Linked DNA regions of Drosophila melanogaster. The gene in region 1 interacts genetically with each later gene. Each region holds a gene or a part of one and is shown in the gene's direction. Other genes may lie near its edges. The genes, in order: AP-1mu, spdo, WASp and Afti.

Region 1 (4,236 bases):
GCATCCTGCAGCTTTCGCCGCGCAACTCCGACCCGATCCTCCTGTTTGCGTATGTCGTCCTCCGAAATGATCACCGCGTGCATTAGCGGTTGTTCAGGATTCATAAACGCCATGGCATTCTTGGTCAAATCAGCCTTCGTAGAACTCTGGCCGTGTACGCCGGCGTTGAGCATATGCAGGGCCGTGGCCACCGACTGGAGGACGGTCTGTTCGTTGACATTGGGGCCAACGGTGCGTATGGTCTTGGGCAGTGAGATGTCGTCTAGCTCCTCGCCACTGTCGTGGCAGGCGCGTAGTCGTTCCAGTCGCTTCTCCCAGAACAGCTGTTTCGGCTTCTCCCGAGTGCCATGCTTGGGTTCATTCTTCGCTTTGGCGGGATCCTGTTTATGGTTGCGAATCACCGTCACCGGTTGCTTGAAGATCGAGGCAGTCTGTCGAATGGGAGGCACCAGGGAGACATCAGTGCGCAGGGCTCGGCTGTAAGGGATTAAAGATTGGAAATGTATTAGAGAAACGCCTTCAAAAAGCTAAAACACCGAACAGCACATTAGACAAAGCGTAAAGTAAAGCTTTAGCATGCAGAGATGGTGGAACATAAATCTCAGGTGGCACAGAGCTACAGCGTTTTTGAAGACAACTACGAATTGTTTTGCCAATTGTGTGTTTCTTTGGGTATTTTTTCATTTGATGCTTTTTAATTGCCGCAGGCTGTAGACCTTGCGTCCTGGCAAACAAGACATGACACGCTGACATGCAAGAGTCAAGTGCTCATCCACTTGGCTCTACCTGAGTTCGATCTGTTGCTGCTGGCGATTGGCCGTTGATGGTGAAGCAGATGCTGCTGTCGCTGTTGCTGCTGACGAGGCGGTCGCTGCCGGAGGAGCAGCTCCTGCTGCTCCTGCAGCATTGCCTCCTTGACTCCGGGCGAACTTGCGCTTGAGGGCATTGGCCGCCGATCCGCTGGTGGCCCCATTACCGCCCCCGCTTGCTATAGGCAGCGGCATGGCGCTGCAGCGGTACAGCGAAATGGAGGGCGAGGGCAGGGCGCAGTGCGGCATTTTGCCAGGCTGGAAATCAGGGATTGCAATGTCCTGTGGCTTTCCCTCCGCCCTTTTTCCTGTGGGACTGCTGAACAGACACGGCGGTGGATGGATATTTTTGGTGGGTTAGGTGGTAGTTCGTGTGCGTGTGTATACATAGGCGTATGCGTGTGTGTGGTGTATATGGTGTGTGTGTGTGTGGTTATGCGGATGTAATAACAGAAAGGTAGTGAAAGTGATTATAAACGTTTATCCGATTAAACAGCGTGCAGTGTTCCGATTTTAGGTATATAGTAGTCTATATAGTAATTCTGCTCTTCTTCTTTACCTGTAGTAGAAAACATCCACCTTGTTATTGTTGTTGTTGCTGCTGGCTGTGGCACTGCTGTTGTTGTTGCTGCTGGCGTTGTTATTGGCGCTGCTGCCGGACTTTCGGACCTCGTCGCGCTGCCATCCCTTTGGCAGGACACTGCAGTCGACGCGTTTGCGCTCGATTGTGACGCTCGGGTTCATTTGCATGCTCGCCGAAATAAATAATTAACAATTCCACAAAAGCAGCGTCTGGGCTAGCAGTGTGGCCGTACTGCGGATGGCCACAAATGCCGGATGGCACAATAGTGATGCTAGATTACATTCTCCAATATATTTATGATTTGAATTTAAAGGTACCAATGGGAAAATGAAAATAATTTAAAAGGTATTTATTTAAAAACAGAAACCTTAAGATGTTACACCTTGCACATTTTTCATTTCCTTTAAGCTTAATTCGCTAGTTAATCAGCAGTAGACCAATCTCACCTGGCCACACTGCCCAACACCTGATGTGAACATTTCACAGCACTGGTGGGCCAACTAATAAGAAAAAGAAGCAGCAGAAAAGGCGACGTAAGAAATTCCGGAGTTTTCATTCGCATTTTCCAGTCTACGAAACGGAATATGTAAATCCAGCCCATTGATAGACCTAGCCCACTCATCGCCACCTCGCGACAGTTGCCAACTTCCACGCGCAACGCCTGCCGCGAGCAGTAGAACCATCGAAGCGACCTCCCACTCGATCCAATTGGGAATTTTACACCTGGGACAAGTGGCAGCTGCTGGGAACCAAGAGACATGTCTTCGTCGGCCATTTTCGTTCTGGACGTGAAGGGCAAGGTGCTGATATCGCGGAACTACCGCGGTGACAACATCGACATGGCCGTGATCGACAAATTCATGCCATTGCTGATGGAGCGCGAGGAGGAGGGCCTAATCACTCCGATCCTTCAGACGGCGGAGACTACATTTGCCTACATCAAAACGAACAATCTTTATATCGTATCCACGACGCCGCGCAATAAGAACGTTAATATCGCTCTGGTCTTCGTCTTTCTGCACAAGATCGCGCAGGTCTTTGTGGAATACTTCAAGGAGCTGGAGGAGGAGTCCATTCGGGACAATTTCGTGATCATCTACGAGCTGCTGGATGAATTGCTCGACTTTGGCTACCCGCAGACCACCGACTCGAAAATTCTACAGGAATACATTACGCAGGAGGGTCATAAGCTGGAGCTACAGCCCCGCATCCCGGTGGCCGTGACCAATGCAGTATCCTGGCGGTCCGAGGGCATTAAGTATCGCAAGAACGAGGTGTTCCTGGACGTTATCGAGTCGGTGAATCTTCTCGCAAACGCCAATGGCAATGTGCTGCGCAGCGAGATCGTGGGCGCCATTAAGATGCGCGTCTACTTGTCGGGAATGCCAGAGCTGCGACTGGGTCTCAACGACAAGGTTCTGTTCGAGAGCACGGGCCGCGGCAAGTCAAAGTCCGTAGAGCTGGAGGACGTCAAGTTCCACCAGTGCGTGCGGTTGTCACGCTTCGAGAATGACCGGACAATCTCGTTCATTCCTCCGGACGGCGAGTTCGAACTGATGTCCTATCGTCTGAACACGCATGTGAGTATTTTTATGTACTTAGCACCAAAATGCAAGACTAACTAAACCCCTGTTGACAGGTCAAACCCCTGATTTGGATCGAATCAGTGATCGAGCGGCATGCCCACTCCCGTGTGGAGTACATGATTAAGGCGAAGTCTCAGTTCAAGCGAAGATCGACGGCCAACAACGTGGAAATCGTCATACCAGTGCCCGCCGACGCGGACTCACCCAAGTTCAAGACCACCATTGGAAGCTGCAAGTACGCACCGGAGCAGAACGCAATCATCTGGACGATCAAATCGTTCCCGGGTGGCAAGGAGTATCTAATGCGGGCACATTTCGGTCTGCCGAGCGTGGAAAGCGAGGACAATACGGAGGGCAAGCCGCCAATTCAGGTGCGCTTCGAGATTCCCTACTTTACCACGTCGGGCATCCAGGTGCGCTATCTGAAGATCATCGAGAAGAGCGGCTATCAGGCGCTGCCATGGGTGCGGTACATCACGCAGAACGGCGACTATCAGCTACGCACCAATTGAAAGGGGCAACTCCCGTTCCTGCATCATTCCAGCCAAGCTTCAGCGAGTCATCCTGCAACAGGTAGCTTCATCTCCACCCGCGTTTTTGTCTGCGATGCGTTGCGTTAAGTCAAAAGTATATATTTGTATTCGTATTGTTTCAGTATATGTATATTGTATGTAAATCAAATTTAATAAATTTTAACACCTTTTCATAACACCTGCACCAGAGTGGGTCACTTTGTATGTGCAAATTAAGACCTAGGATGCAACCAAGTTTATCCTCTTCGTTGGTCAGAGAAAACCCAAAAACCCAAAGTGTCTAATTTCACATATCCACCGACCCACCTGTACAGATGAGTCATAACAAACGGGTTGAACCCACAAAAAACTGTTTGCCTATTGCTTAATCATAATAAATGCACTTTCGATCGAGTCTCTCGGTTCGTTTTGATTTCTGATTTGTTAGCATCTTTATGGCACCTATCTGGAATCTATTTCTCAAAGTCCTTCAAGGGATAGTGCTCCTTGTGGGCCTCGATATGTTTTTCCAGCTCGCTACGCTGCTCAATCAAATGATCCGGCATCTCCGCGTAGACGCCTTCGAACATCTCACGCCAGTTGGGCTTGAGTTTCTTCTCGGACACTGCGATCTGCTTCAAAACCTTTTTCCTTATGTCCTTGACATATTCGTTTTCGACAGTCTCGTCAAACCAGCCTTTGTGCACCATGTAGCGCTTAAGCTTGGATATTGGGTGCTCCACCGA
Region 2 (4,564 bases), about 21 Mb from region 1:
ATAGACGTTCAGGTAGTCGCTTGCATTCTGGTAATTACTTTTGCCACGTGCGAGGGCAGCTGTTGCACGCACCTATGCTGTTTTACTACAACTGAGTGTGTATCTGTATCTGTAAATGTATCTGAGGAGGCGCCCCTCACACACATGACTGCAGATACATATCTCTTGCTTATATGCGAAGGGGATCTATGTGGCGTATATATATGACAACTGGCAGCGGAAATAATATGGGGGAGAGAGCAGGGTGCAGGATGCGGTGAGACAACTCCCCTAATCAAATAATGCCAGTCGCACTCAGGACTCAGGATTCAGGATCTATCTTTGCGGCTGTTTCTCTGCTGTTCAGTTCAGTTGAGTTTAGTTGAGTTTCTGTTCCTGCATTTGTACCTTGGTTGTGTCACAACAAAGGACGAGACAGGATCCTCGCAAACAGCTGACAGCTGTGTGCCTGCCGTCTCTGTCTGTTATCCTTGTGCGCTGTCATTGCCCCTGCCTTTGAGTATCTGCATCCGAGTATCCTTCGGATACTGTGCAGAAACCCCGCACTCTAGTCGCGTGCCGTCTGCCGGCGTTTAACTTTATATGCATCTTAAATTTTCCCACCGACCAGCTGTTGGTGCCTCCAATTTCTGGCTAATCCGCTTGACAAATGCCCCCGGCTGCGCTGATTTGCTTCTGGCCAAAAGGCAATTAAGTTGGCCACCACAAAAGGACAACACGCGTGCATCCAACCTGCGGGCTCAAAGGCATGTACATATGTATGCACGTGGGAGGCGAAATCCGGATAAAGTTGACCCACGAACTCTTCGTTTTTTATCGTTTTTCTCTGACAACCAAATGTAACGGTCGCTTGGGCAACAAAAATCCGGGGAGGGCTGCCTTTAGGGAAGGTTTTTGGTCTGCACAAACATCAGAGCTGAGCAAGGATTATTTTTAAGAAGCAAGCGCGACTGAAGGGTACCCCTTAAAATAAATAAGCGAAGTGAAATAATTTAATCTCTTAAGTTCTTTTGTTTCATTTCTTTCTGACTGAAGCTAAGCTCTACTTTATGGCTTGACGCTTTTACGTCAGAAATATGTGCATATTAAACTAAACTGTTTTGTGAAAGCATTCATTAAAAGTTTGTTTTAATGGTGCCGATATACGGATGCTAACCATATATAATAAAAGCACGATATGTTTTCAACAAACAATAAACTATTTTAAATATTTCGGTCGAGAAACAAAGCAGCGGATGAACAAAAGGAACAAGAACAACTAGTTCTTATATGATTATAATAAAGAAAAAACACTTTTATGATAGTTAAATTATGTTGAATTCTCGGTGATGACAGTGTGCTGATATGATCTGCTCTACACTGGTTATGTTCGAGTATAATCTTAGGTGGATTTAAAACACATTCATCATACCCCTCAACTCGCCAACTAAGTGGTAGCAAAACAGAATTAAAGTCGCAAGGGAGCGCATATGAGTTGGTAAATAAGAATTAAAAACGCCGATAAACGCGAACCGAATAAAACGCCGGCTGCTCCTGCAATTCGCCAGGGGTTTTTAGGTTTTGGTTAGGATCGCGTTGAGACGTCTCAGTTGGAAGTGAAATGCGTTTCAACCCCCGTTCGTTCGTCGAGCAGCAGGAGCAGATGTTTCTGGGTTTTCACATTCGGTTCGGTTCCAATGGCCTAATGGAACGCGCCAAACACAGTCGGTCATTGTACGGGTGTACGGGTGTCTTATGTACAAGTAAATGGTGTTTTATGGGGTGGGGACTCGTATCGGAGCACGATCCACTCGACTGCGCGCCGGCGCAGGAAGTGGAGGAAGTTGAGGAGCTGCCGTCTGGAACGGCTCTCTAGATCAGTCGAGTCGCAGTTGCCGAGGCGAGCGGATCGTGAACAGTGCTACGAACCCAAAGAAAACCCAAAGTAGTGAAAGAACACCCCTAAGAGGTTGTGGAATTGCCACCAGTACAGTGCCAACATGTCGCAGCATAACTATACGAACCCGGCCTTCTGCCAGAACAGCGAGTATTACCCGGTGCCCAGCGGCAACTCGTCGCGAGTGGAGTCCATCTACAACAGAAGCCTCCAGATGAACTTTGGAGCGGCTCCTCCGCGCGCCACTCGAGATCCCCGCGAGGGTCCACTGCGAATGCAGCGTAGCATGTCCACGCGATCGGTGACGCGGAAACAACACCAGCAGCAGCAGCAGCAGCAACACCAACAGCAGATACACCAGCAACACCTGGCTCAGCAGCAGCAACACCAGCCGCAATCCTCTAGTGGTCGCTATGCCTTGGTTCCCCTAGAGGAACTGAACAGCAGTAGGGCCAGTAGATACGCCATAGTTCCAGGACAGGCGGCACAGAGACTGGCCCGATCACAGGATAATCTGGATCGCTATGGCTCCAGACATGGATTGCACGAAGAGGAGGAGCCTCACTCCTTCCACGAGGAACCCCATCAGGAGACCCAGTTTGCCAGCTTGCCACCGATACTTAATTTGCCGCCCAAGCCCAGGAATATTAACAACAATACCAATGCCAATCAAACCCAGATTAAGCATGCTTTTAGTAGCGACTTCGGCAGCAAGACCTTCTTGATAGTGGATAAGAATAGCAACCAGAGGTACCAGATGGTGCCCACCGCCGAGGACGAGGAGCTGGTAGACGAGAACCAGGAGATCATACAGATGCACAATGGCCGCGCCCATCGATATGCAGTGGTGCCCACGGATGCGGACGACGATGATCTGGCGGAGGAGCAGGAGCAGCAGGAAACCTGCCTGAGCAACATGGAATTGAGCAGGCAGTACGCAGCGAGGACCTCAACGCCGCAGCAAAAGAATGCGGCTGCCGCTACGAGGGCCCTGCACGAGCTCCTGACCACGCCCAGGAAGATGCAGCCGCCTCCGCGATTGGCGCACTCAACGCCCCGGAACGCCGCCCACCACGAGCAGCTGCAGCTGGAAAGGCGCTTGGAGATCTACAAAAGCCAACAGATCTACCAAAGCCAACAAGTTGGAGCGGTAGTAGGAGTCCCTCCAACCTTGCCACTTCGCCAGAATCGACTCTCCCCCCAGAGACTTCACTACGAGACCGTGAAGCCGCTTCCCATGCAGATCGCCGATCGATCCATGGCCGTCATCAGTCCCAGGGTCCAGGAGCAGGGGCAGGAGCAGGAACGGGAACAGGACATGAGCAGCATCCAGGGAAAGGGCAAGAAAAACAGCTCCTATCCGCAGAAGATGGCCAATGCCACCATTACCTTGGCCGTTGTCTCCCTGATGCTCGTCTTGGGCAGCACCATGAATGCGGGGCTCATCATCTACATGATAGCACACGTAAGTACTCTCAAATACTTTTAAAGATATTCATTTTGTCCATGGAAACATTTGAATAACACTTTTTCTTCGCCTACAGCTCGGAAAGTCCTTTTACCTGCAGTTTAGCCTGGTGGCCTCCTTCTCCGGAATGGGACTCGGCTTCCTGGGATTCAAGTCGCGCCACTGCGAGTGGCTGCCGAACAGGAGCTATAGTTCCGGCTATATCCTGGTCACCGTATTTTGCCTATTCAAGTCCTGCGGATTGCTTGTGATACTCGTGGTGGACCCCTTCCCCGGATTTCCTGTCCACGATGTGACCACTGGCGTCATCCTTGGACTGTCGACTTTCACCATGTTCTTCATCGGATTGGGAGTGCTGGGCAGCTTGTGGTGCCACCGACCTCCGCCAGACAACCGCGTCAACGTGGTCTAATACCCTGGAAATAGTTAATCCTAGACTCTAATTAGTTGTACACCATCCACTTCGAATTCAAGAACTTGACACACCGAACGGCTAAAAGACCAAAAACAAGAATTAGATTTATAATCAGCGGAAGATCATCATCCCCCAAACGACTGTATATAACAAGTGGGTTGTACCTATTGCTAACACTTAGTTTGCTTAACTTATTGTTCACCTAAGTATAAGTATGTTATGGAATAAGAATAAAATAAAGGCACGTAGATACCAGCACAGCATTTTGTATCAATAAGGAAATGGTTAAAGTGTTCAATTAGGTTAGTTCTTTAACAATCAAAAATATATATATGGTGAATAAACACTTTCAAATATAGGTCGAGTGTTAAAATTATAGATTCAGCGTCGTGATACTTAACTTAATTGAGTAAACAATTATTTTTCAGCTTTCAGCACCTTTTAACTATTGAAATACGGTGCATATTTTAAAGCAATGTGTTTTGCTCTTCTGTCTACTAAGTTTTGCCCTCTCTTTAAATTGCAGCAAAATGGACGAGTACCAGAGGGAGCACTCGGATGCCTCCCATGATATAACCGCCTATGTATCCAATCCAATCAATGCGTACCTGCTGACTAAGCGGCTAACCACCGATTGGCGTCAGGTGGAGAACCTCATGGAGCACGACGTGGGCACGGATTTCCTGCAGAACATCACCCAGTATCGCAGCCTCCTGAAGTTCCCCTCCGACGAGGACCTCAATGGCGCGGCGGTGGCCTTGCTCCGCCTGCAAGACACCTACCAACTGGACACTTCGAGTGTGGC
Region 3 (4,704 bases), about 19 Mb from region 1:
AAGTTACCCACAAAGAAAGGCACGGCCAGCGGTGGGTCACCATCGAAAGCGGGCTCTCCCAAGAGGATTCCCTTGGCGCCGGCCCGCCGAATGACGCCTCAAAGGGCAAACACCAGTCTGCGACTAGCTGCGGGCAAATCTCACGCTGCCTCACGTGTGGTCTCCGGCCGCGTGTCGTCCACTACTCCACCATCCCGCAGCAACTCCAACCTAAATGGAAGCAGTGCAGCCGCAGCAGCTGCGGCCAAGATCAACCATGCGCAAAGTCGTATCGCCAACATCTGGAAGAGAGTGGACGAGGCCAAAACCAAGCAATCGTCATCCAACCTGAGGACGCAGAAAACCAAATCTTCCAACATGCTCAACGCAAATGGAACCAAGCCGACGCTCCTGCGCAGCTCCACGTTTGACAATACCCCCAGCACCGCTGGAGGAGTCAAGTCCAAGCTGCCAGTGGTGGGCGCGCGGAAATAGAGGGTTAATTTGTTCAGGATAGTATGGATCACAAATTAGCCAAGTTAAAGCGAAAACGGAAGTGGAGATTGTAAGAGGAACAGGACTGTATTTGTCAAGCATTTTTTAGGAACCGAACACGCACAGGTCCACATCCACAAGCCGAGCTAGAGTCAGAGTCAAAATCAAAGAGTTTTTAGGATAGGAGTTAATATACATACGCTATGTAATCCATATTTTACTCTCCTTTTACTTTATACATTATACGTAGACCCTAAAACTTTGTAAGCAACCAGTTTAGCATAGAGTTAGCGCAAACTCCTAGTAACTTCAACTTATCCAAATCACAGTCAGAGAAGGAAGCTCCCGATGCTCCCGATCGTGTGTAGCCAAATGTATTGCATATATATACACAAAATCAGGCCTTTCAACATGTGTACAACTACCCAATATATACAAAATGTATACTGGCATATATATAAATGCTATATATTCGATTGTCGCATTAACTAGGAAAGGTTTACCAAGTCGAATGTCTGTTCTGATTTAACTTTTTTAACACTTAGTTAGATGAGCTGTCCTCCAACTGGTGAGCTACTGAAATCAATTACAATCATATAGTTGCACATCTTTATTGAGAATATACTCTAAGTTTAAAATATGCCCCTGGCTTCCTTATGCAAACACCAAATATCTGAAGAGAGAAGAAATTCACATTTTTTAGTCACTGCTTTTTAAGTATTCTTTTATATAATTTAGCAAGTTAAGGGTAACTGTTTTAGGAAACAGCTTATGCATTAAGCTCATCATTTGCGACTTAGTTTTTACCGATTCAATGCGATTAACCATTTTCAATATGAATAAATCGAAATATGCTTTTTGTCAGCAAAAAATTAAACCAATGTGAATTTACTCGATTATAATTTATATCAAAATAAAACATATTTTGAAAGCCAGATGAACAAATATTTATTCGAATTTACGGGCGTGGTAAACAAAATCAAATTTAACGGAAAAGATAACATAAATGAAAAAATATACTATTCCCACAGCTCTCCACTCGCGATTTCTTAACGGAATTGCCTGAAACTTTTTGATAAACTTTTAAGCGGAACTAGTGATGGGCAAAATTGAAAAGTCTCGAGCATGGTCTGCACAGGGCCTTGGCAGAGCTTGATGCATATTTTAGGAAATTATCGAAAGGATAGTATTTTTAGCCTATCGCCTTTTTCGGTCGGTCACACTGGCAGCAATTGAATTGGAGTGAAAAAAAATAAATGAATAAACAAACTAGCATTGCGTCCGGGAACAGACGAATAATCAACCGAGGAACACTCGTTTTCAACGCCATGCACTCGATGACGCGGACGCGCGCACAGTAGAGCCTCCCGATAAGAGTCCCGGAATCCGCAAGGCCAGAGACTACACAGATTTTGTGGTGTGTTGTGTTGTGTGTGGGAAAAAAACGAAAGAGTGAAGAGCAGTGCACGAAAATAAACGCAAAAAATCAATGGGCGACCCCCCCAGCAGAGCAGCTCACAAGGGAAATTCGAGACCTTGAGTAGGGCAGCACATCATCCCATCCCATCCAAGCCGAACCAACCCAACCCATGAACTTACTCCCAATCCGCAGCAGCGTCTGTCTATTTACATTTGCATTTTCACCCCACCTGGCGCGACGACGGACAGGTGTTGTCACAAATCTTGGAGCTACGGAGTGGCGCACAGTGGGGTGGATTGGCTGGTGGCTTGTGGCGAGTGCCGAATGTTGAGTAACCCAGACCACTGTGCATGTATCACACATAGATACATGCGCACACCTAATCAGTGCTTTTCGCCAAAGATAAGGGCTCTTTTCGAAGAGTTTGCCACTGGCCTGGCTTTTGCCCACATTCAAACGCAGCTGGCTGGCTTGCTGGCTGACTGTTTCTGTTTCTGCTTCTGATTTCCGACTCTCGGGCACCGTGACTCAGACCAGGCGATCCGCTCGCAGCCCCGCCGACACCATAACCAGCTACATCGTCATAGCCAGCGCAGGTCTCGGTCTCTCTCGCTCGCGCTCTTGGCCGTAATTCGGGCTGAAAACCATTCAAAACCGTAAAGACAATACTGTCAATCGATTCAGCAGTCCCAAAACCATAATTCTTCGATCCCAAATCGGGTTATTCGCAACACACTTCGGACTCCGTTGCTCAAACTCTCTGTAGATCGGAGTTTTTACAAGCTGTACACTGTACAAAAAAATAGGCAGCCTATCCAAGTGTAGTTATCTTTTTATATTCGAAGGCGTTGACTGCAATAATTCATTTAAACGTTAAATATTATACAGTTTCTGAACTCTTTAGTATATTTATGGGAGCTCAAACTTTTCATATTGTATCGTCAACCCTACGATCCCAAACTTTTGTTCACTCTATCGAAGTTCAACTGTTACTCCGTGTGCCTTTATTGTTATGAACTTTTTACTTTTTCGGGGTCCCCAGCGTTTTGTGATATTAAATTAATACATTTAGCTTTTGTTCATTTGCGTATTGTTTTCGCCACACAATAAAATGCGTATTGTGTCCGTATTGTGCAGGGAAACCAGCCCAGATCCCCATATCCAGCACCAGACCCAGATCCAACGAAACCGGCCAGATGAGCAGCGGAATGAGGTCGCAGGACGGTCCACGGGCGAAGGTCAATGCCGCCAGTACGCTGCTCACCCAGGAGGAGAATGAGGCCGTCTTCAAGCTGCTGGGCAAGAAGTGCCAGGTGAGTCGAGTACTGATGATGCATAATGCCCCCAATCGGGTGATTAATAATTAAGCAATGACATGGTTTGTGTTCCTCCGCCTTCGCCGAGCAAATCCCACGGCTTGATGAAGCACTTCCTGCGGCTCAAGTGTCGCCCATCGTGTGCGAATTTCACTCGAAGCACAGTAACCCTATATCATAATATCATTCTACGGTCTACGGGCAGCTGCCTGTCATATTTACCAAATTTCACTTGCACACTGCCCAACATAGTTGAATGGTTTCTTTGCCCATTTAAAGATGGCACCGGAAGCTAAACTGTGAACAAAATTAGAGTTCTATGCACTATAGTTAGTTGGTCAGCTATAAAACTTGCATGGGAGTATCGTACACATTATTAGCTTTGGTTTTGATTGAAAGACATACTCTTTTGCTGGAAAGTCTACTTGAGTCAGTGCAGATAACCATTTAGATTAATGTTCTCTGTACTATACAAAAAAAAAACAAGATGAATCATTGTTACACAGATGTTTTATGGTGCCCATACATACATATGTAGGTTACAACTTATTGGGCACTATTCTCGTATTAAATGCTCATTAAGAAATTAGGAGTATATAAGGAATAAATAATATTCATTCAGATCAGAGTCCGAATGTGCTGGCCAGTGTTACTAGAGCAATTTGTTAGACTTTGTTAACATTACTAATATTTACCTAGCATTTCTTAGAGCCTCTATCAGCAAACGGCTTGAGCCGGCATTGATAGGCCACAAGCGCAGTTGTTTGCACTTCTTGATTAGTTTTTTATTTCCAACTCTATTCCTTCGTAGTATTGGGGTGCCAAAGCCGATTGTGGTGCGAAACGAAAGAGAAACCATTAGTTTGGCCCATTGGGTCGTGATAAGAGTGGGGGTACATATAGTATTTGAGGCGAAATACAGACGAACCTTATCTTATCAATCCGCCCGCCCAATGCGAATCACCGGCCAATGCCAAGTGCGATAAGAATGCCCTGAAATTGGAGTGGAAACTTGGAATGTGGTCATTTAACGGCGGCCGTTGTGCGGATAATTATGGTGTGCACAACATGGGAAAATCGCTAATTTCGATTCGCAATTCACGCTTTGCTAATTCGCAACTTTCCATTGACAAAACATTTCCAAATGCATTTGAACTCTGCCAAAGTAATGCAACCAGTGGGCTGGTTAAGGCAGTTGGCCCCTTTTGAAGACACTCAGAAAGGCACTACCAATCCATTTCTCATATTTTTAGTCTCTGCTTTTGATTCACTGAAGCTACGGGTATTGGGCAAGTCAATGAAAACGTTCGGGGATTTGTAAATTATGTCATTAATCCCACATCTTTCGTTTGCCCTGCTCTGCTCTCTGAGATAAAGAAAGAGATTACCTGGTGGAAAATATTCAATCAATCACCAAACCATATCTTGTTTTCACCGTATCGAATGCTGCCCGTCTTTGTGCGATATCGTGTGATAACACACAAAGCTGCAGCT
Region 4 (7,955 bases), 4.8 Mb from region 1:
ACACCCGCGACCATCTAACATTGACAAGCGGCTTGAAGAGGGAATCCGCTGTAATAAATAGTGGCAAACTAAACACAAGAGGCTACTTATACATTAGTCTGAGAATCACCTGACTGGGGCATCTCTGCCAGCCACTTGGCTGCCGCATCCTTGAGCACCCTAACATCATCCGGAGTGCATTTTCGCACGATTGTGTGCAGCGATTGCTGGCGGGTGTCCAGGAATCGCACCTTGGGAGTTGTCAGCACCTCCTCCGGTGCGAGAACATTAACTGGAGTACAGGAATTTAGTTGGCTCTTGAATAAAGTTGTTGGAACCCCAAAACTCTTACCCTGCTCGGCGATTTCTCTGATATGCTTGGGCAATTGATCCAGAAAGTTTGTCATCGCGATGCGATGGCATGTCCTCGATGGGATTGCGTGATATAATGGCTCCCCGAAACACGAAAGGTGTCTCAACACCTCCGGAATTGGAAGTATTCCGGGGGATTATTGATCAAACAGCCGAGCCATGCGACGACTTGCGAGCGAATTGAAAGTGTAAATAAACGCCGGTTGAAATCAGCTGTTGGCGCCAATATCTTAAGTGGGCCAATCAGCTGGCAACTACAGTGGGCATCCAATAAGGTAAACTATCAGTTGTTGTTTATCAAAAAAGATTTAAAACAAAATTTAGGAAAATTATTGATAATCAATTTGCAAAAATATTTATATGTACTTCCTAGTCAAATTTGGAGCTCAAACCCTCTCAAATTCTCTCAATCCTCTCCTATCCAAACACTATGCTAATATAAATATATTTCCAGTGAACACCACTTAATCACAAACACGAAACACTTGAGAGTATTTACATAATGGTTTTGTTTCAATCATTTAATTTCGAACATTCTGTTTTTTGCACAAGCATCAGAGGAAAACACAAAAACGATAGTCAGTGATCGATAGATGGTGGCTCCACTATCGATGATGCTCCTCCTTTTGGGCGAACTTCGTGTGTAAATGTTGTGGTTTTTCAATGTTTTTAAGCTAAGGGAACTGCGGATGTTGCATCCTGAAGGATCCTAGTGCTTGGGAGTGGGCTTCGAAAGCTCAGCCAAGGCACGGGCCTCAGCCTCTGCGCTGCGCTTCTTCTCCTCGGCGAGCTTGGCATCACGGACGGCCTTCTGCTGTGCCTCGATCTCGCGCAACTTCTCCTCCTTCTTGGACAGGCGGCTCTGGTGGGCGGCGCCGTAGGCAATGCCCACCAGGAGCAGGGACCATCTGCCGAACTTGATCAGCGGGGAAACGCGAACGGGAGCCTGCGACATGGTTTCTTCTTCAAGTTATGTAATTGTCCGACCGTGAACTGCAAGAAAAGGATGTACTTTAGTTATCCGACTTCCTTAATAGCGTTCCCCGTCTCGCTCCACTTTACAGATTCCTGGTTTTCCTAGTTTTATGCAATATTTGATGTTAAATAAGCAAAATTACCAAATTGGTGGAGCGATTGCAACGGCAGCGCAGTATAACCTTAAAACAGCTGTCAAAACTGACAGGCGGCTATCGATAGTTGTATTGGTACGGTGGCGGCGTTGCCAGCAAGCTTAAAAAAGTATGCAGAAATTGTGGAAAATATCATAACAATTTAAAAGAAGCCTTTATGACGACTATTTGTTGTTTAGTGTCCCAACAAAATTTGACGTATTACATACTGCAGCCTAGACTTTCATGTATATTTTACTCTTGTTACTAATAATTTTCAAATACAATTTTAACGGTAAAAGAATTGGAAAGAATAAAAATCTATTATAGAAATATAACTAATATAACTATTCTATCTGAACTATGGATAATGATTTAAATCGAAAATGGGAATTGAAAAAGATAAGATTCAAATTTTGTATGTTATCAATGTTGCGCAACGTTTTTCAGCACTGTCGGTTGGCCAAAAGTTAAACGTTCACACTGTGGGCAGAGGAAAAAGTATTGTTTTCTGGAAAACATGGCTAATTGCAGATAAAACGCGACTTGCAAATTCGGCAAATCTGTTTTTAGAGCCACCAATAAGGCGACAATTAGACATAATACAGAGACACAACAAAATTGACGCGTGTTAAATGCAAACAAGAAAATTCCAACACAGACCTTGAGTGGCTAACACACACACACACACTTGCAGGCCCTCCACACCTGCGTCACACATACACACCACACACACAGTGATAAAGTGGAGCGAGAGAGATAGAAGATCGAACCGTTCCCAGCGTTTTTGTTGTTCTTCTTGAAGCAGGAAGTGAATTTTAGGGGATCCTTTTACTGAATTTTGCAGCTGGCATTATGGTGAATGTACCACCGCTGCTCTGCAGCACCCCCCCGCCCATCGATTTTGGTGAGGAAGACGACGATTCCGGTTTACAATCCACCATCCATTTGGACGAGGGTGACGAATACTCAGATTTTGGCTTAGTCAGCAGCTCGAAAGGCAAGCTTAGATATTTATCGAATCTCAAAGTGATACTCAGTTAATTCTCGCTTTTTAGAACCCCCTCCACCACCAGATCCCGTGGAGGAATTTCGAGAAAAGCCACCTGATTTGCTGGAAGACAAACAAACCGTCGAGGCATTTAATTACCAGGTGAAACAGAAGATGGATTACGATGTTTTCGAGGAAACAGCACCGCCGACGCCGCCTCCGTTGAGCTTGGAACTGGATGATGAGGAACTGGAGGAGCATGTGCCCTCCCTTAAGTTGGACAGTCTAAGTCTCTATTCCACGGAAAGCGTTTCTGCCGCCTCCACACTCTCACCGGTTGCGGAGACTAGTGCAGTTGCTCCGCCGGCTATGCAAACAACCAAAGCCCATATCCTCAGCCACCAAGTCACGCTGGAGGATGTGTCCGATGACAGCGACGAGGAGTGCTCGCCAAAGAAGCCCAAAGAACTATTTATACGCGAGGGAGCTGTGGATTTCTTTGCCATAGAGGTATTGGCCACTCCAACCCTACCATATGGAGAAGGCTTTTCGGAGGAGAATGTGGATACAGGGAAAGGAGAATACGTAGAGAATACCTCCCAGCCAGAAGAAAGCTTTAGAAGTTTGGAAGCCCAGGAGGAAAGTTCAAATACCTTAGAAAAGCCTATGGAAAATCAAAGCCGTGGCTTATCAAATCCTCCAAATCAGGAGGAATCCCCTCACCAATGGGGTGAACCAGCAAATAGTGATACATATTCATTTACAAATCTTGATGCGACGCCAAAAGACTTAGTACACAAAGAAATTGTTCCCGAAATGCAAGAGCAAGAAGATGATGATGACTTCGGTGACTTTGCGGATTTCTCAGCAGCAGAACCCCAACTAGAAATCACGGAGAATTCAACGTCTGCCTTTGAGACACCTTCCTTAGCAATCAATTCCCGAACGGAATCTCAACCTCTAGAGGTTAAGACGGCTCCTAGCACAGAAGAATCCTCTAAGTTACCTCCTGCAGAGACCGATGATGGCTTCGATGATTTTCAGGAGTTTGCCACTCCTGCGAATGGAAACCACGGTCAAAGCGAAGACGACGATGATTTTGGCGACTTCGCCGCGCCCGTAGTGACTCCTGTTTCTGTACCTCCGCCACCGCCGCCAGCTGCTGTCCATCTGAGCATAGATGAAAGGGTTAAGCCAGTCCTTGATATGATGTTTCCACAACCAACGGAACTGGACAGCAAAAGTATGGACAATCGCAGGCCTTTGGCTCAGTGCCAGCGATTCAATTTTGGTGCCATAGAGCATGCCCAAGCCCTTGATTACCAATGGAGCAGCTCGGAAATGAGACACGCCCTTGTTCGATCGCTGGGCATCGATTCAAGGAATATAGTAAGTTAGATAGGGCTTCAAAATGTATTTCAAATAACTGAAATTCATAAACTTCCAGCTCTTCGGCGACAAGTGGAACTCATCGATGCCACGTTTTGCTGCCAACCTGAGCTTTGATCCGCTGAAGCCGCTGAAACCTCAATCAACCGGCGCCGCAAGCAGCCTGGAGCCCATTTCCAATTCCACCAGCTACCAGGGTGAGTGTCCTTAGAGTCTCTGCGAGATTGCTCCACTTAGTTGCCGCAAATTAACCGCTACACAAGTTTCGTAAATCGAGAAATTGCCACCCTATCGCCTAACGCTCGCTTTACTTTCAAACGCTTTTCGTTGCCTATTTCCCGATCCTATTGACACACGCTTCCCGGATTGGCCTGCCGTTCGATTGGCTGCTCCTTTCTATATATTCTTATTGATTTTCGTTTGCCTTGTTTTTCCTTGTGACCACATTACTTCTAACTATCTCAACAAACAATCAAAAAGTTTATCCTTACGATAAATTGTATTTAGAATCACATGTACAGACATTACAATTGGAACAACTAGACCAACTAACGGTGGTGGCTAATGCTGATAAAATAAATCTTGTTACCTCTAACTCCCACACCAATAACAACAACGATAATGGTGATAACGACGTTGCTGCACCCGTTGATCAACTGGATTGTATGCCACCTGTGATGGATTTGATGACCCATAACGATCACAATTTGACAATCGATTTGCACCACTCTCCATCACTCACACATTTTGCCACCATCTGCAACAACAATAATAACGATAATAACAATCCCAACAATCTTAACAACAATCATGCAAAAAATACTGCAACAATGACAATAACAATTAACACAAACCTCACTGCTCACGACGCCTTGCTGGATTTTAGTAAGTTTCGTTGGCTCTGTGCGTGTGTTGTAGTTGAATCTCCACTCTTTTTTGGTTCGTTCAGTTCAGTTTCGATTCTCTATATACTTCTCAGCTCTATCTCTCTATCTACCCGTACCGTCCTACCGATCCACAGTTCCCCCAGTTCTTGTTACTTTGGCACAACGCATCCAATCTCAGCCAGCTCAGTTCTAGCACAAGTAGTTGAAGCCCGCCCAAGAGTTCCCTTCATTTTCACATTTTACTTAGCTAGATACAGTTGATCATACTAATACCTAAATATTGTCTCTAAACTAAGCCATCATCTGATGTGTTGCTAAATCTGGTAACTAAAAGTAATGCTTGAAATGTAACCATTTTCTGATTTCTTTGATTCTATAAAAGATACAATGTATCTAGTAAAATAAAATGATTAATGCAAGATTAGTATCCATATCCATTCCATATCTTTCATAAGCACAGTGTTTTTTTAGTTATCTGCAACATAACAGATGATTATAGCCGAATAACTAATTAATTATCTTTGTTTATCTCATAGTTTTCATTCATGACAGCCAAGTAATTGTTTTCTTTCCTTCGCACAGGATTGGAAAACGCCGCCGCAACAACGGCGAGCCAAACTGAAACGCGGACTGGCCCGTCTCATGGGGAAGGCTCCACCGGCTCCTGTTCCGCCAGCAATTCCGACGGCGAAGAGCGACCGAGTCATAGCCACCAGCCAACTGCAGTCCCCAGCCCCGAATCGAACCATATTGAATCCACAGCAGCGGCATCAGCAGCAGCTGTTGCTGCAGCAGCAGCGACGCTACCGACTACTCTATCAGCAGACAGCCCTGCCCACAAACTCAACGGCGGTGAGCAGCTGCATCAGCAGCGGTCGGAGCCGGAGCAGTTTGATTTGAGGACCACTCCTCCGGCCGCAGCGCCAGCTCAGGAGGAGATCGTGGGCAGCTCGATGGCCAGCTATTCGGTGCCGCTGAAGGAGACCCATATCTATACGCCCTCCAAATCGGATACGGCGGTGGCCAAGACCACCACACTAGCGCCCATTGATTTCGACTACGAGATGGCTGCGACGGGCATTATCATCGATGAGACGGTGGTGAAGAAGGAGTATCGCGACGTGGAGTACAAACCCCCATTTGGTCTGGATTCGCCCAGCAAACTGAGTGGCAATGGAGCTGCCAGCAGCTTTCAGTTGCCACCACAGACGACGGAAGATGACGACTTTAGTGATTTTCAATCTATGCCGGCGCCAAGGTCTCGAATTGATACACCCACTTTTGGCGAACAGATGATCCTTAGTCCGGCTATTCTGCTGCCCCAAGCCATTCCGCTGGCAAAGAAGCCAGCTGCAACTATTGAATGGGGCGACAATGCTCTGTCTAGCATAAATGCCGAGGAAATGGCCAGGATAGAGGAGTTGTTCTCCTCGCAGGCCAAACCGCTCACCATAAGCGCTTCGGTGGCCAAGAAACCAGCTCCTTCCACGCCAGCTCAGTCTCAGCCTCAAGAAGACGATGAATGGTCGGACTTTGTCTCTGTTCCAGTCACCCAACAGCAACCGCATCATCAGCAAAACGCAATTGCTAACAACAATAATATAGTCAACAGCAACGCTAGGAAACCAGCTGCTCCCAAAGAAGATGATTGGTCGGATTTTGTGAGCAGTACTCCGCCAGCACGACCGGCTCCACAATTCAATTCCGGTGCGTGGCAGAGCGCTAATTTCTACAACAATCCCTTGAGTTTGTACCAGGCGCAGCAGCAGCTGCAGCAACAGCCTCATAGCAATCTAGTGCCCAAGGGCAGCACCAGCAGCAGCAATAACAACAATGTGCCAGCCATTCCACAGCAAATACACATCATGCACGACTTCTCGACTGCACCCGTGTCTGGAGGATTGGGTGTGGGTGCCACCTACCAGCAGCAGCATCAGCGGCAGCAGTTCCAAATCGGCAACGCCAAGGTGGCTCCACGCATCTCCCTGATCCCCGATCTCAGCTTCGTTGCACCGGCCTTGCCCACAAATGCTGGTGCGTTCATGGGTGCGCTACCGAAACCCACTTTCGGTGGCAAGAAATGACACAAGAAGCTGAGGGTGGGCGGTGGGCGGCTCCAGCAGCAGCAGCAGCGTCCGCATGTGGGCGCTCCTCGCCCACTGGGTGGCGGCGAGGCCACCATCCTCACATAGGCGAAAGGATCGATCGCGCACCCGGGTAGCCAGTCAGTATTATGAATCCGTCTGATATTCACCATAATCCGAACCGTCACACATTGTAGTTTTGAGGCAAGCTGTGTTCCATGTTGTTGTCGTTGTTGTTAACCTTGTCGTTGGCATAATTGTTGTTGTTGTTGTGCATGCATGTTGTAGTCTTAGGCGTAAAAATCAGGATTTAGAACGAAACAAACAAGTAACCATTTTGTGCTATAGTTTGATTCTAAATTTATGTTTTACTTAATTTGACGAAAAAAATTATACTTTTGAAAAATAATATTTTGTAGAGCGAAAAAACTGTTAGTATGCTTGAAAAATTCTTTGTTTTTATCTAATATTATTTAAATGATCGGATATACTTTTAGAATTCGAATTATTGGGTAAATAAGTCAAAAAACTCTAGAAGAATTGTAAAGTAAAACGAAAAAGAATACCGCACACCAGTGAAATTATGTAATTTAAGGGATATTTCTGAAATCCTGCGAGATTTTAAGGTTTAAGCTTATGCATCCGATAGCATGCAATATCTCTATGCGGTCATATCAATATAACAACATAAGATTTATCATAGATGACCAAAAAAGAAAAGATACAAATTAATAACAAGGATTTCGGAAGTATCCCAAGTAAGGAAAAAATCGGCATTACTTTTAAAAATGTAAAACTATTAGTTCCATGATGATTTTAGCTTTAATCAACCCCAAAGTTAGAACCCTAAATCGGAAAACTCCGCCTATCTGAGGAATATCATCAGTTAATCCCTGCGGCAAAGCCTACAAATGCATTCCACTAGCGGCGAACTTCCCCTTTTGTATATCCATAACAAATACTCCAATGCGATTGCGGGCCACCACCACCACATGGATGAAAACCCAACCCGCCTGATGCGAATTTTTTCTATATTGTGTACTTATAACAAGCGACAGGAAAGCGAACTAACCAAGCAAACATAGTTAACGTGTTGTATATGAAATAGGATTTGTTAGTTGATAGAAGAACTCCCATGCATTCC

What was found.
Region 2: of AP-1mu (region 1) and spdo, changing one suppresses a phenotype caused by changing the other (phenotypic suppression), as found in Drosophila melanogaster (one study listed by BioGRID).
Region 3: of AP-1mu (region 1) and WASp, changing one suppresses a phenotype caused by changing the other (phenotypic suppression), as found in Drosophila melanogaster (one study listed by BioGRID).
Region 4: of AP-1mu (region 1) and Afti, changing one enhances a phenotype caused by changing the other (phenotypic enhancement), as found in Drosophila melanogaster (one study listed by BioGRID).

The regions. Positions count from the first base shown.
Region 1 is NT_033777.3:9,557,164-9,561,399, reverse strand, and holds AP-1mu (adaptor protein complex 1, mu subunit), read left to right. Parts: upstream 1-1,874; 5' UTR 1,875-2,150; coding exon 2,151-2,972; intron 2,973-3,031; coding exon 3,032-3,490; 3' UTR 3,491-3,688; downstream 3,689-4,236. Other genes in the region: MBD-like (Methyl-CpG binding domain protein-like), read right to left, coding at 1-477, 787-1,128, 1,369-1,559; BckdhA (branched chain keto acid dehydrogenase E1 subunit alpha), read right to left, coding at 3,964-4,236.
Region 2 is NT_033777.3:30,474,834-30,479,397, forward strand, and holds spdo (sanpodo), read left to right. Parts: upstream 1-1,850; 5' UTR 1,851-1,979; coding exon 1,980-3,341; intron 3,342-3,420; coding exon 3,421-3,756; 3' UTR 3,757-4,016; downstream 4,017-4,564. Other genes in the region: PH4alphaEFB (prolyl-4-hydroxylase-alpha EFB), read left to right, coding at 4,286-4,564.
Region 3 is NT_033777.3:28,829,005-28,833,708, reverse strand, and holds the start of WASp (WASp), read left to right. Parts: upstream 1-1,684; 5' UTR 1,685-1,891; intron 1,892-2,395; exon of another isoform or gene 2,396-2,490; intron 2,491-2,568; exon of another isoform or gene 2,569-2,715; intron 2,716-3,031; 5' UTR 3,032-3,090; coding exon 3,091-3,207; intron 3,208-4,704. Other genes in the region: Apc (APC-like), read left to right, coding at 1-474.
Region 4 is NT_033777.3:14,320,642-14,328,596, reverse strand, and holds Afti (aftiphilin), read left to right. Parts: upstream 1-1,907; 5' UTR 1,908-2,315; coding exon 2,316-2,460; intron 2,461-2,518; coding exon 2,519-3,840; intron 3,841-3,898; coding exon 3,899-4,037; intron 4,038-4,347; coding exon 4,348-4,725; intron 4,726-5,309; coding exon 5,310-6,811; 3' UTR 6,812-7,520; downstream 7,521-7,955. Other genes in the region: spn-B (spindle B), read right to left, coding at 1-48, 110-271, 332-386; ATPsynE (ATP synthase, subunit E), read right to left, coding at 1,061-1,306.